3 linked regions of the Anolis sagrei genome follow. The protein of the gene in region 2 purifies or fractionates together with the protein of the main gene of each other region. This does not show direct contact. Links are inferred from orthologs where the notes say so. Each region holds a gene or a part of one and is shown on either strand. Other genes may lie near its edges.

What was found. Proteins that work in one complex are often made in the same cells at the same time.
Region 1: the proteins of SNRPA1 (region 2) and DDX46 purify together in Homo sapiens (affinity purification with mass spectrometry; 3 studies listed by BioGRID and IntAct, counting the BioPlex papers as one, with this or other methods). This does not show direct contact. The link is inferred for Anolis sagrei from reciprocal best matches to the Homo sapiens genes SNRPA1 and DDX46.
Region 3: the proteins of SNRPA1 (region 2) and CDC40 purify together in Homo sapiens (affinity purification with mass spectrometry; 3 studies listed by BioGRID and IntAct, counting the BioPlex papers as one, with this or other methods). This does not show direct contact. The link is inferred for Anolis sagrei from reciprocal best matches to the Homo sapiens genes SNRPA1 and CDC40.

The regions. Positions count from the first base shown.
Region 1 is NC_090022.1:91,475,336-91,479,088, forward strand, and holds the start of DDX46 (probable ATP-dependent RNA helicase DDX46), read right to left. Parts: upstream 2,237-3,753; 5' UTR 2,121-2,236; coding exon 2,104-2,120; intron 1-2,103. UniProt on the Homo sapiens protein: Component of the 17S U2 SnRNP complex of the spliceosome, a large ribonucleoprotein complex that removes introns from transcribed pre-mRNAs.
Region 2 is NC_090029.1:22,342,853-22,346,605, reverse strand, and holds the start of SNRPA1 (U2 small nuclear ribonucleoprotein A'), read right to left. Parts: upstream 2,952-3,753; 5' UTR 2,871-2,951; coding exon 2,789-2,870; intron 1,036-2,788; coding exon 888-1,035; intron 773-887; coding exon 694-772; intron 92-693; coding exon 45-91; intron 1-44. UniProt on the Homo sapiens protein: Involved in pre-mRNA splicing as component of the spliceosome. Associated with sn-RNP U2, where it contributes to the binding of stem loop IV of U2 snRNA.
Region 3 is NC_090021.1:93,489,169-93,492,921, forward strand, and holds the start of CDC40 (pre-mRNA-processing factor 17), read right to left. Parts: upstream 2,573-3,753; 5' UTR 2,556-2,572; coding exon 2,364-2,555; intron 1-2,363. UniProt on the Homo sapiens protein: Required for pre-mRNA splicing as component of the activated spliceosome. Plays an important role in embryonic brain development; this function does not require proline isomerization.

The sequences.
Region 1 (3,753 bases), on a different chromosome or scaffold from region 2:
ATCAGCTCTAGTTTCTTAGTTGTGGTTATCATTATTTTCTATGGGTGAGCAGATGAAAATTGGTATATGGCATATATTCTGTATCTCAAAAACTAGAGCTGATAGCAGAAATCTGGGGCCAGTTTTGGAACGAGCAGATCAAATATACCAGAAACAGGACTAACAATGCACCAAAATGTGTGCTGGCCAAAGTAATGCATTCTTATTTACAGATAATTAATTACATTACACTAACAATGCATTATAATATAGGATCTCATCTACATTGACCATTTAATTCAGTTTCAAACAAAAATGATGTTGATGTGCAGATGATTTACACAGGAAATCCTGGTAGTAGTTTGAGGCCTGTATGGTGATGAAACAAACTACAAAGCACTGATGCACATTAAGGGCTTTCATTCATGCACTTTTTGGGGGAATTTGTTGTCCGGCTGCCACCTTTCAAAGCTAGCTTCAAACTGTATTAAACAATCAATTATGAACATGGACAGGCTGACATATTTGTCATCAACAAATCAAGGAAGAGCAAAAACTCAAACAGATTGGTAGCTATTTAAAGACTATTTTAAAAAGGAAAAGTTAAAAAAAAACAAATCTGAAGAAGAAATAAAGATATAAGAAAAATAGTCGTTCTTTAAGTACACATTGACAAAGAAAGGGGATGAAGGTGGAGACAAAATAGACTGCAAGAATATTGTAAGTAACATAACGAAGCAGACGGAAGTCAATATATATAAAGTTTTGTAAATGTGATTTTTCCCTCTCTCTACTTGATTCACTATCACTTTTCACCTTTTTCTGCTCACTTTTTTCTTTTTCCCCTCCTTTTTATTTTATATTATATATATATATATATATATATATATATATACATACATACACACACACGCACATATATGGAAAATGCTTTATATTTGTGTCTTTAATAAAAATATTTTAAAACAAGACTGAGTGCGGATGGGGTCTAAAGCTCCTTTCATACAGCTATATAAAATCCACATTGAACTAGATTATATAGCAGTGTGAACTCCGATAACCCAGTTCAAAGCAGATATTGTGAGATTTTCTGCCTTGATATTCTGGGTTATATGGCTGTGTGGAAAGGCCCAAAGTCATTAAAACATGTCTAATCTGCCAACCCAGGATGCATGGGTACCATGTGGCCTTCAATGATTACGGACAACTGACTGAAACAGTGAAGGGCTGCAGGATCCCTACTTCCTTGCGAGAAACAAATTAACATAACTTATTAATGTAATAGGAAATGACACATGAAGTCAGCCCTTTGTAAACACGGATTCAACCATCCATGGCTTTAAAATATTTGATTTTTTAAAAATCCTTTACTTTGCCATTTTATATAAAAGAACATCATTTTACTATGTCACTGTAAATCATGGGACTTGAGAGTCCATGGAGTTTGGTATCCAGCTTCAGTAACAAAGGGCCCTGCCACACAGCCATATAACCCAGAATATCAAGGCAGAAGATTCCACAATATCTGCTTTGAACTGGAATATATAGCAGTGTGGACTCAGCTATCCCAGGCCTGGCTGGCACCCTGCTCCCTCGCCCTTGCGAGGGTTGTGTGGAGACGGGGCCCTTTCTCATATCTCCTGGCGTAAATCACAATCTTCTGAAGGAGACGTTGTGGTGCCAAATCACCACCACCACCTCTTCCTCCTCCTTCTGTGTCTTGGGGCCCTGCCACACAGCCATATAACGCAGAATATCAAGGCAGAAGATTCCACAATATCTGCTTTGAACTTGAATTTATGGCAGTGTGGAGTCAGATATCCCAGTTCAAAGCAGACATTGTGGGATTTTCCGCCTTGATATTCTGCGTTATACGGCTGTGTGGAAGGGCCCCGAGACACAGAAGGAGGAGGAAGAGGTGGCGGGGGTGGTTTGGCACCAGAACGTCTCCTCCAAAGACTGCCATGTACACCAGGAGCGATGAGAAAGGGCCCCGTCTCCGCGCAGCCCTCGCAAGGCCCTGAGGGCCGGCCTGGCCCCCGCCTAGAGTGAGTGAAGGGCGAGGGGGCAGGGTCCCGGCCGGGCCTCAGAGGGATCCCCCAGGGGACACAGCCGCCCGCTCACCTGGACTCTCGCCCCATGGCGCCGCTCACGAAACACAGCCTCCTCGCTCCGGCTTAATCTCTCGCGGCGCAGCGACGTCTGCCAGCCATTTCCGAAGAACGACTGGAGCGGAAATGACGCGTCCCTCTACGCAAAACGCGAAGGAGGAAGCGAGAGACACCACCTCCCCACTTCCGGAAAGAGAGCGACAGCGCCCCTTGCGGCCGGAGGAGCCGTGTGCAGCCAGTGCCGGATTCCCCTTGCAGGGAATCTTGTGTTGCTTGGTGGCGGGGTGGGCCTTAAGAGTCCATTCCAGCTTAATGGGGACCCTAAGGGTGTAACTACACTGGAGAACAAGCATGGCTAACTTCAGCCTTCCAGGTGTTTTGGACTCTCACAATTCCTAACAGCCGGTAGGTTTTTCACACTACATGACTATGTTCTAGAAGCATTCTCTCCTGACGTTTCGCCTGCATCTATGGCAAGCATCCTCAGAGGTTGTGAGGTCTGTTGGAACTAGGAAAATGGGGGTCTATATATCTGTGGAAAGTCCAGGGTGGGAGAAAGAGCTCTTGTCTGTTGGAGGTAGGTGTGAATGTTTCAATTGGCCACCTTGATTAGCATTTGATGGCCTGGCAGTTTTTAAGTGTAGCTTGTTAGTGCCTGGGGGAATCTTTTGTTGAGAGGTGATTAGCTGTTCCTGAGTTCCCCTGTGTTTGAGTGTTGTTGTGCTGTTATAATTTTAGAGTTTTTTAAATACTGGTAGCCAGATTTTGTTCATTTTCATAGTTTCCTCCTTTTTGTTGAAATTGTCCACATGCTTGTCGATTTCAATGGCTTCTCTGTGTAGTCTGACATGGTGGTTGTTGGTGTGGTCCAGCATTTCTGTGTTCTCAAATAATATGCTGTGTCCAGGCTGGTTCATCAGGTGCTCTGCTATGGCTGACTTCTCTGGTTGAAGTAGTCTGCAGGGCCTTTCATGTTCCTTGATTTGTGTTTGGGCAATGCTGCGTTTGGTGGTCCCTATGTAGGCTGCATGGTATACGGTAGACTCCTGCAGAGGTGAGAGGATCCCTCTTGTCCTTTGCTGAACGTAGCATTTGTTGGATTTTCTTGGTGGGTCTGTAGATAGTTTGTATGTTGTGTTTCCTCATCAGCTTCCCTATGCAGTCAGTGGTCCCCTTGATGTATTGCAAGAATATCTTTGTGGATATTTGTCTTTACTCTCGTGGCTTGTTCTTGGTCTTGCAGCTCTTCAGATGTCTGAGGTGGAGTATCCATTGGCCTGTAAAACCCAGTTTAGGTGGTTCAATTAATCTTGGAGGAGGTGGGGTTCACAGATTCTTTTTGCACCATCTGCGAGGGCTTTAATTGTTCTTCTTTTTTCACTTGGGTGATGGTTGGGAGTTTTTATGTAGATATCTGTGTGTGTAGGTTTTCTGTCAACTGTGTGACCCAATTGGTGAAATTTGCCCATGCCTGCTGTAGAATGAATGTGGTTTGATACCACTCTAACGTGCCATGGCTCCTTGCTAAGGCATCTGCACTCCTTGGCAGGCAGCATGAAAAGCCTTGTAAAACTACAACTCACAGAATTCCATAGCATTGAGCCATGGCAGCTAAAGTGGTGTCAAACTGCATTAATCCTACAGTTCAGATGCCATCTCAGGC
Region 2 (3,753 bases):
AACACTTCACAAAGGATGAGACTATAATAAATGAAGATCTATACCTCAAGTAAGTTAATGATTTGATAGTTGCAAGAGGATCTAGATCACCCTGAATCAAGACAAAATGCAGAGTAAATTAGTTAGTTATTTATTTAATTTATTTACGACATTTATAGTTCCACATGATACAGAGATTCAGTCCATTGGAAATGTATGCCCTTCAAGAGCTGGAACTTATCTTACAAATGAGCATCAAGTAAATGCAAGACTCCATCATTTAAGAGCCTGTTTCATATTCTCGGTTTGAAACATAATTGTAATCTGAGCCTTACTTCATTGCCGTTAAAGTAAAAGAGTATTTTCCCAGAAGCTTTTGAATTCCAAAGCACATCCCAGGATAAAGGAAAAATTGTATTCAGTCACCAAATTCTCCCAGGGTTGCTATACTATGATTCTCAGTGACTCTCTTATGTGTAAACACAGAAATATAAATAAAAGCCTTAAATAACAAGAACTTTTATATCCGCCTCTTTCCCATACACAAAAGAGCAGGTCACTTAAAAGGTTCCAAACCTTTCTGACTTTTACTGTCAGTTTCAATAATATCAAGGTCCATATCTGAAGAGCAGCTATTCCTTTAGGACTTTGTGACAACAAAGGGCTTTCCCCTTCCTTCCCATTCATTTTTAAATTGCCTTTTATTTCACTCACCAATTCCATGATATTATTATTTGTAAGAATTAGTTCCTTGAGATTGGGCAGAGACTGTTCCAATCCTTCGCCTATTCGGCTGAAATAAAAGAGAAATTTAAAGCAAAGTGGTTACATTTCCATTACATTTAGAAAAGACTAACATTGCACTGCTTTCTCTCTTAAATTTGAGGGTATTTAGGCTTCACACTCACCTCAATCTGTTGTTATTCATCAGCAATGTTTTCAACCTTTTCAGCAAAGGAAACCCATCTAACTTTCGGATCTCATTGTCAGAGAAATCAATACTATCAAACTGGTCCAGAGTAGCCCCCAAGTTTTCAATCACGGGAATCTTATAACCTGATAAAGCATCACCAAAAATAAAAAAATAAAAAAAATAGCCCTAGTTACTAATGGAAAAGGGCAATTTTGAGTCTGCATTAAACTAAAGCTGGCAGTACACTATTGTCTCAGTATTCTTTCAATCCAGTCAAGCAGATCTGAGAAATTTCTGATAGAGTTTAGGATTATACTCTTAGGCCTCATCTACACTACCATATAATCCAGATTAACTGCTTTGAACTGGATCATATGGAAGTGTATACTCATACCATCCAGTTCAAAGCCGATAATCTGGACTCAGAAAAAGGATTATATGGCAGTGTAGATCCAGCCTCAGGCTGACTGGCAGCAGGTTCGAGACAAACAGAAATTATTATTATTGTTATTATATTTATTTGTACCCCACTTTATCTCCCCAAAGGGGACTCAAAGCAGCGCGACACAAAAGCATTAGTATACAATTTAATATATACAATTCTTTATTGATTAGTCAATTTTGACCATATCAAAACATGCAAAACATACACATACAGTAAAACTATATATGAATACAAGGCATCATGGCTTACTGGCCTGTCAACCCACTCCTAAATAATCGAGCAACTACAAGATAAAAAGATTAAAAATTGATTAATTCCTTAAAGTAGGGTTTGGGTGGGGGCATGGGTAGATAAAACTAGTGGCATGTCCATATTTATATAAAGGTAACAATTAAGGTTTCCCCTGACATTAAGTCTATCCATGTTTGACTCTGCGGGGTGGTGCTCATCTCCATTGTCCATAGCTAGCTCCAACATGAATGCACACACACACACACACACACACACACATATATGAGTGTCTGTGTGTATCATATATAGAGAGCATATATAAATATGCAAAAATTAAAATAGAATTAGCCACAAACAGCACTAAAAATTCAGTTAAAATCAACCAAAACAGTAAAAATATATTCTTTCCACAGAACCATTCACACATTGTACTTTCTACCAAAGCAATAACGTGGCAATGCTCATTGGTTTAAGTACAGCAGATTCCCAATTAAGGGGACACAAGCAACTGGAATTTTTTTTGAATAAATAATACTTTAAATAAAATATGTAAACCTGAATAATGGAACACTACCAATTAATGTTTAGCGGAAAAGTCAGTTTGAACCCGACGCGCTGTAAGTGATGTTCCCTAAGGCAAAAAGTATATTACTGGCTGTCGTTTAAGTAAAAGTGCATACTGCCGTTACAAAATCGGTCTTAATTTTCTTTTAATTGTGGTCTCTCAATTGGAGCATCAAGTCAATACAGAGTTTATGCAGGCATGGGAAAACTTGGGCCCCAGGCATTGTGGGAGTAGAAGTCCAAAACACCTGGAGGGCTGAAGTTTGCCCAGGGCCTGGGCAGTTTTTCCCAAACTGTGCTTCTCCAGGTGCTTTGGATTTCAGCTCCCAGAAACCCCAGCCAGTTTAGCAGCTGTTAGGAATTGTAGGAGCTGAAGTCCAAAACATCTGGAGGACAGCTTGAGAAACCTTGGTTTAAAAATTCTGGAAGCTGCAGTCCCAAAAAGCGCCCTGAGTAAGACCCTGAAGTCCTTCCCTCTTTCTGCTTCCAATAGGGTTCGAACGATGCCATTCCTGAAGTCCTGCGCCAACGCTAACGCCTCGCAGGCCCCACGAGAGGCCTACTCAAGGAAGCATGACCCCCGCAGGCTCCCGTAGGAGGCTTCCTGGCCTACCCAAAACAGGCCTCCGCCACTACACGACGGCCGGCCTCCTCACCCCGCAAGTCCAGCTCCCGGTCCCGCACCGCGTTGGTGTATTGCGCCGCCTGCTCGATCAGCTCCGCCGTCAGCTTCACCATCTTCCCGAGCCGAACCGACCGACCACACGCTCTCCTTTCGCCTCAGGGCGCAATTGTAAATGCGCATGCGCAGCCTGAAGACGCCTAAAAGCGATTGTAGAGTTGCGCATGCACAGCCCGGGGCCTCGACTGCCGGATAAGCGATTGTTGGATTGCGCACGCGCGGCTCTAGGCCTCGATTGCCCCGAAAGAGGGAGGGTTGTGTCTTCCTAATGGCCGGCCCCTTTGCGCCCCCAGTGGACGCATCGAAAATTGCACCATCTTGATCTTCCAGTACTTAAAGCCGCAGAGGCGCCTTTTGCCCAGTGCATGGTTCTTTACCGCCCTCCAGTGGCCGTATCGGGAAATTGCACCGCCTTTATATATTTTCCCCAAAGGAATTCAGGGAAGAAAGAAAGGGGGAAAAATAAATGAAAGAAAGAAGAAGATAAAATGTGTTTGCATGTATTTGTATGTATTCAGCCATGAAAAAAGGCACCATCAAAGACAGATGGCCATGCCCTTATAGCATAGATGGCCATTCATGACTGAGAGCAAAAATTATACGATATATCATAGAATCCTAGAGTCCACTTCCTCCAGGCAGGATGGCACCGTCTGATCCCTCTGTCATTGGTAGGGGTTAGGGTTAGGATCTGACATTGGAGGGGGTCACAGTGGTTATGGTTAGAGATAGGGTTTTGGGTCAAGGTCAGGTATAAGGTTAGGGTCAAGGTTAGGGCCGTCATTGGTGTGTATCACAGTCGTCTGTGCTAGGGTTAGGGTCTAGCATTGGTGGGGGTCGCAGTGGTGTGTGTTAGGGTTAGGGTGGGGGTCACAGTGGTCTCTATTAGGGTTAGGGTCCGTCATTGGTGGTGGTCACAGTGGTCTGTGTTAAGGTTAG
Region 3 (3,753 bases), on a different chromosome or scaffold from region 2:
ATCGGAACCCACAGGTTAATAAACATTGAATTAGATTAGTTTACTTTTGGCCCTAGTATGCCATAGAGCTGCATTGCAGGGGCCATAATTCTTAGAGAAATAGTCTTTCTAGGAATTTGCTAAGTCATCCAACACAACTCTGGTAATTTATCATAGAATCACCTGGTGACCTATGAAATTCCTATGGAAACTACTTCCCCACAGGAATAGGTAAATGAAACTGTGGATACAGATCCTGTGGTTATGGGAGTTTTACTGAATATTATTATTAAATTTGCTAAATGGTTCGGGCCCAGACTATTTGGCTGACTGCATCTCCACATACGAGCCTGCCTGGGCACTGCAATTAGCATATGAGGCCCTGCTCTTGGTCCCACCCTTGACCCAAGCATGGCTGGTGAGAACGAGAGATGGGGCCTTCTTCGAACTACCTCCTTAAGGAGATCAAAATGGCCCCCTCCTTGCTCTCCTTCAAAAACAATTAAAGACCCTTTTATGCTCACAAGCATACATAGAGGAGAGGACCTATAAAACGTCTGGCACGAACAAAACAGAACGTAATATGGAAATGGTTTGTTACTCTGCCTTTAAATTTTTTAATGTTTGCTTCTTATTAGTCCTAAATTTTAAGTCTTATTTTTAGACTGCGAACCGCTCTGAGTCCCCTTTGGGGTTGAGAAGGATGGTATACAAATACCGCGAATAAATAAATAAATAAATAAATAAATAAATAGCTTATCAGTCAAAATGTTCATTTTTAGTTGTGTGGTGCCTAATTTGTTGTAATTTTTCACTATTGCCTGATGTTCATGTCTAATATGCTGTTATTTGATTTATTATTTGCTTATTTGTGGGGTTTTTTGGTCGCACTTCATGGCACTGAATGTTTGCTGCTATATGTTGTGAACTGCCATGAGTCACCATTGGAGGGATAGGGCAGGACAGAAATAAAATCTTTATTCTTTATTATTTTTTAACTTATGTGAAATCAGATTTTAATTTAATCTTGTTTCAGTCTTTTGGAAACAGATGTAGCCTGTTTGAGCACTAAGATCTGCTGGGGAGGTCCTGCTCTTGGTCCTACCACCAACTTCGCAAGCATAATTGGTTGAGATTAGAGACAGGGCCTTCTCGGTGGTGGCCCCTCATCTGTGGAATTCCCTGACTAGCGAGATCAGACTGACCTCCTGGTATTTAGGAAACAAATCAAGACTTGGCTATTCAAACAGGCTTTCGGAGAGCAACAAAAAGGGAACTAGAACAAGGCTTCCCAGAAAACATCAAAGAAACATCTCTCTCAATGGAAAACCACCAGTACAACACATTAAGATGAACCTGCCCATTCCTCTTCAGCAGGTCATTCTGGCTTTCAAACATATGTCACCGCAAATCTCTGCGTCGGGGGGATCATTTCAGGTTGACTTCCTGCCTGTGAGCCATGCAGGCAATTCACTTCCAGATACATATTTGAAGGCTTTCTCTGGCAGAATCACTGAGGTGTTGTGTGGTTTCCAAGCCGCATGGCCGTGTTCTAGCAGCATTTTCTACACATGTTTCATCTGCATCTGAAGGAGCCATGGTGGCACAATGGGTTAAACCTTTGAGTGGGCTGAACTGCTGATCTGATGGTTGACAGTTCAAATCCACGAGACAAGGTGAGCTCCTGTCTGTCAGCCCTAACTTCCCATGCGGGGACATGAGAAAAGCCTCTCACAGGATGGTAACACATACGGGCGTCCCCTGGCCAATGTTTTTGCAGGCGGCCAATTCTCTCACACCAGAAGTGACTTGCAGTATATTCTCAATTTGCTTTTGACACAATAATAAAGGAGGAAAAAAACACTATCTGCATCTGTGGCTGGCATCTTCAAATGATCTTCCAGATAATTTTGGCCTTCAGCTCCCAGAATCCCACATCACTAGCCCTGCTGGCAGAGGCTTCTGGGAGTTAAAGTCAAAAACAGGTGGAAGCTCAAAGCGTGCGATGCCCTAGTTACAGAAACTCCATGTCAATAATCTTTTGGAGACATTTCCGGAAACAGAAGCCGCGAGGCATTTATCAGGCTTAGGGTTCATCTTTTACACTGTAGGATTAATCCACTCCTTAACTGCTATGGCTCAACGCTATGGAATCCTTGTGAGGCACCAGCACTCTCTGGCAGAGGAGGCTAGAGATCTTGCAACACTATAACTCCCAGGATCCCCTAACATTGAGCCATGGCAGTTAAAGTGGTGTCAAACTGCACTGGGCCCAGAGCAAAGCCAAGGCTTCCAGCAGAGGCGCGTTTTTTCGTCCAGCGGGAAAGGCCCAAGCCCGCTCTCCGCGCAGAAAACTCGGCCAAGTCCTCGCCAGCCCTCCTTACCTTCACCGCCACGGCCGGGGCCGAGTCCACCGCGGGCAGAAGCGCTTGAGAGGCCGAGGAGGCCAGGTGCAGCACCGCATCCCCGCCGGCAACCCGCGCCGGAGGGTTGGGCCTACCCTCGGCGTCCGAGCCCGACTCGGAGTCAGAGTCGGAGCCGCCATACGAGGCGAGGGCAGCGATGGCGGCCGACATTTTAGCGACACCGGAAGTAGGCCGCCAACCGGAAGGAGCGCAAGCGAGGAGCGCCCGCCGGGTTCTGACAGCGCAGTGAACAACGTTCCGCCATTCCCCCACAATCACTTCAGGCCTCCTTCGCCTCGAACTAGTAGCCAATCTATAATGCTCATTTCTGACTTCAGTGAAAGAGGTGTAATTCACCCCTTACGCCACTTTTGAGGTTAAACGTTGTAGGACTTTCATCAAATACACAAATCCCAGTTGGAGGCGCTGACTTGATTCCCAGCTGCTGGTTTGTTGATAGGGATGTGCCACCCAAGGCTTACCTGAGAATAAACGTTCTTACATGTAATAGGGTTTCATTTTGAATAAACATATTCAGAAAGAACACTACGATAAAAGAAACGTTAACACATGTACTAACAAACTGGCTGTCCTCATACACAAAAATTGGGACAAATGCACCTCCAAGAGTTGACTGCCCAAGTGCGCTTCAAATTGACTGTTGATTTATAGTGGCCCCAAGAATTTCAAAGGTCCAAAAGCCACAACCACAAGTCAAGGGAATTTAGACACGGATCAAGAGGACCCCAGTTTTATATCTTGGTTCATAATGAAGGTGAAGATTCATAATGAAGGTGGGCTACAAGAATGAAAAGATAAGCAATTCAAGCTTGTGTTCTGTTTTTAAAACTATCCATGAGTATGTGTGTGCTTAAGCAACTTGTATTTCATAGGGCTTTCTTAGGCAAGGAACACTCACAAGATGGTCTTGCCAGTTCATTTCTTCGAAATAAACCTTACAGTTCCTGGTATTTGTTGGTGATCTCCCATCCCAGTACTAACCAGGAGTAACTCTGCTTAGCTTCCAAGTTTAGCTGGGACCTGATTCCTTTAGGTGTTTAGGCCTTTTAGGCACTGGGGAGAAGATAAATGATTATATGGCTTCGTATTATTAACACAATGATGCATTGTAAACCAAATTACACATTTGTATGTAGCTCCCAGCATCCTTATTCTGTAATCCTATGCACTTCTATGTTACTTCCAAGTAACAATTATCAGAATTGCACTGTCAAGACTATGTTCAAGTTCCCATCCAGAGTTACCTGACAGTAAGTCTAACTGACCTTAGTGAAACCTACTTTTATGAGTAAACAAGGACAGGTTTAGGTATGTTAACTTTGTTTTATTATCATTGTGTAATTTATTA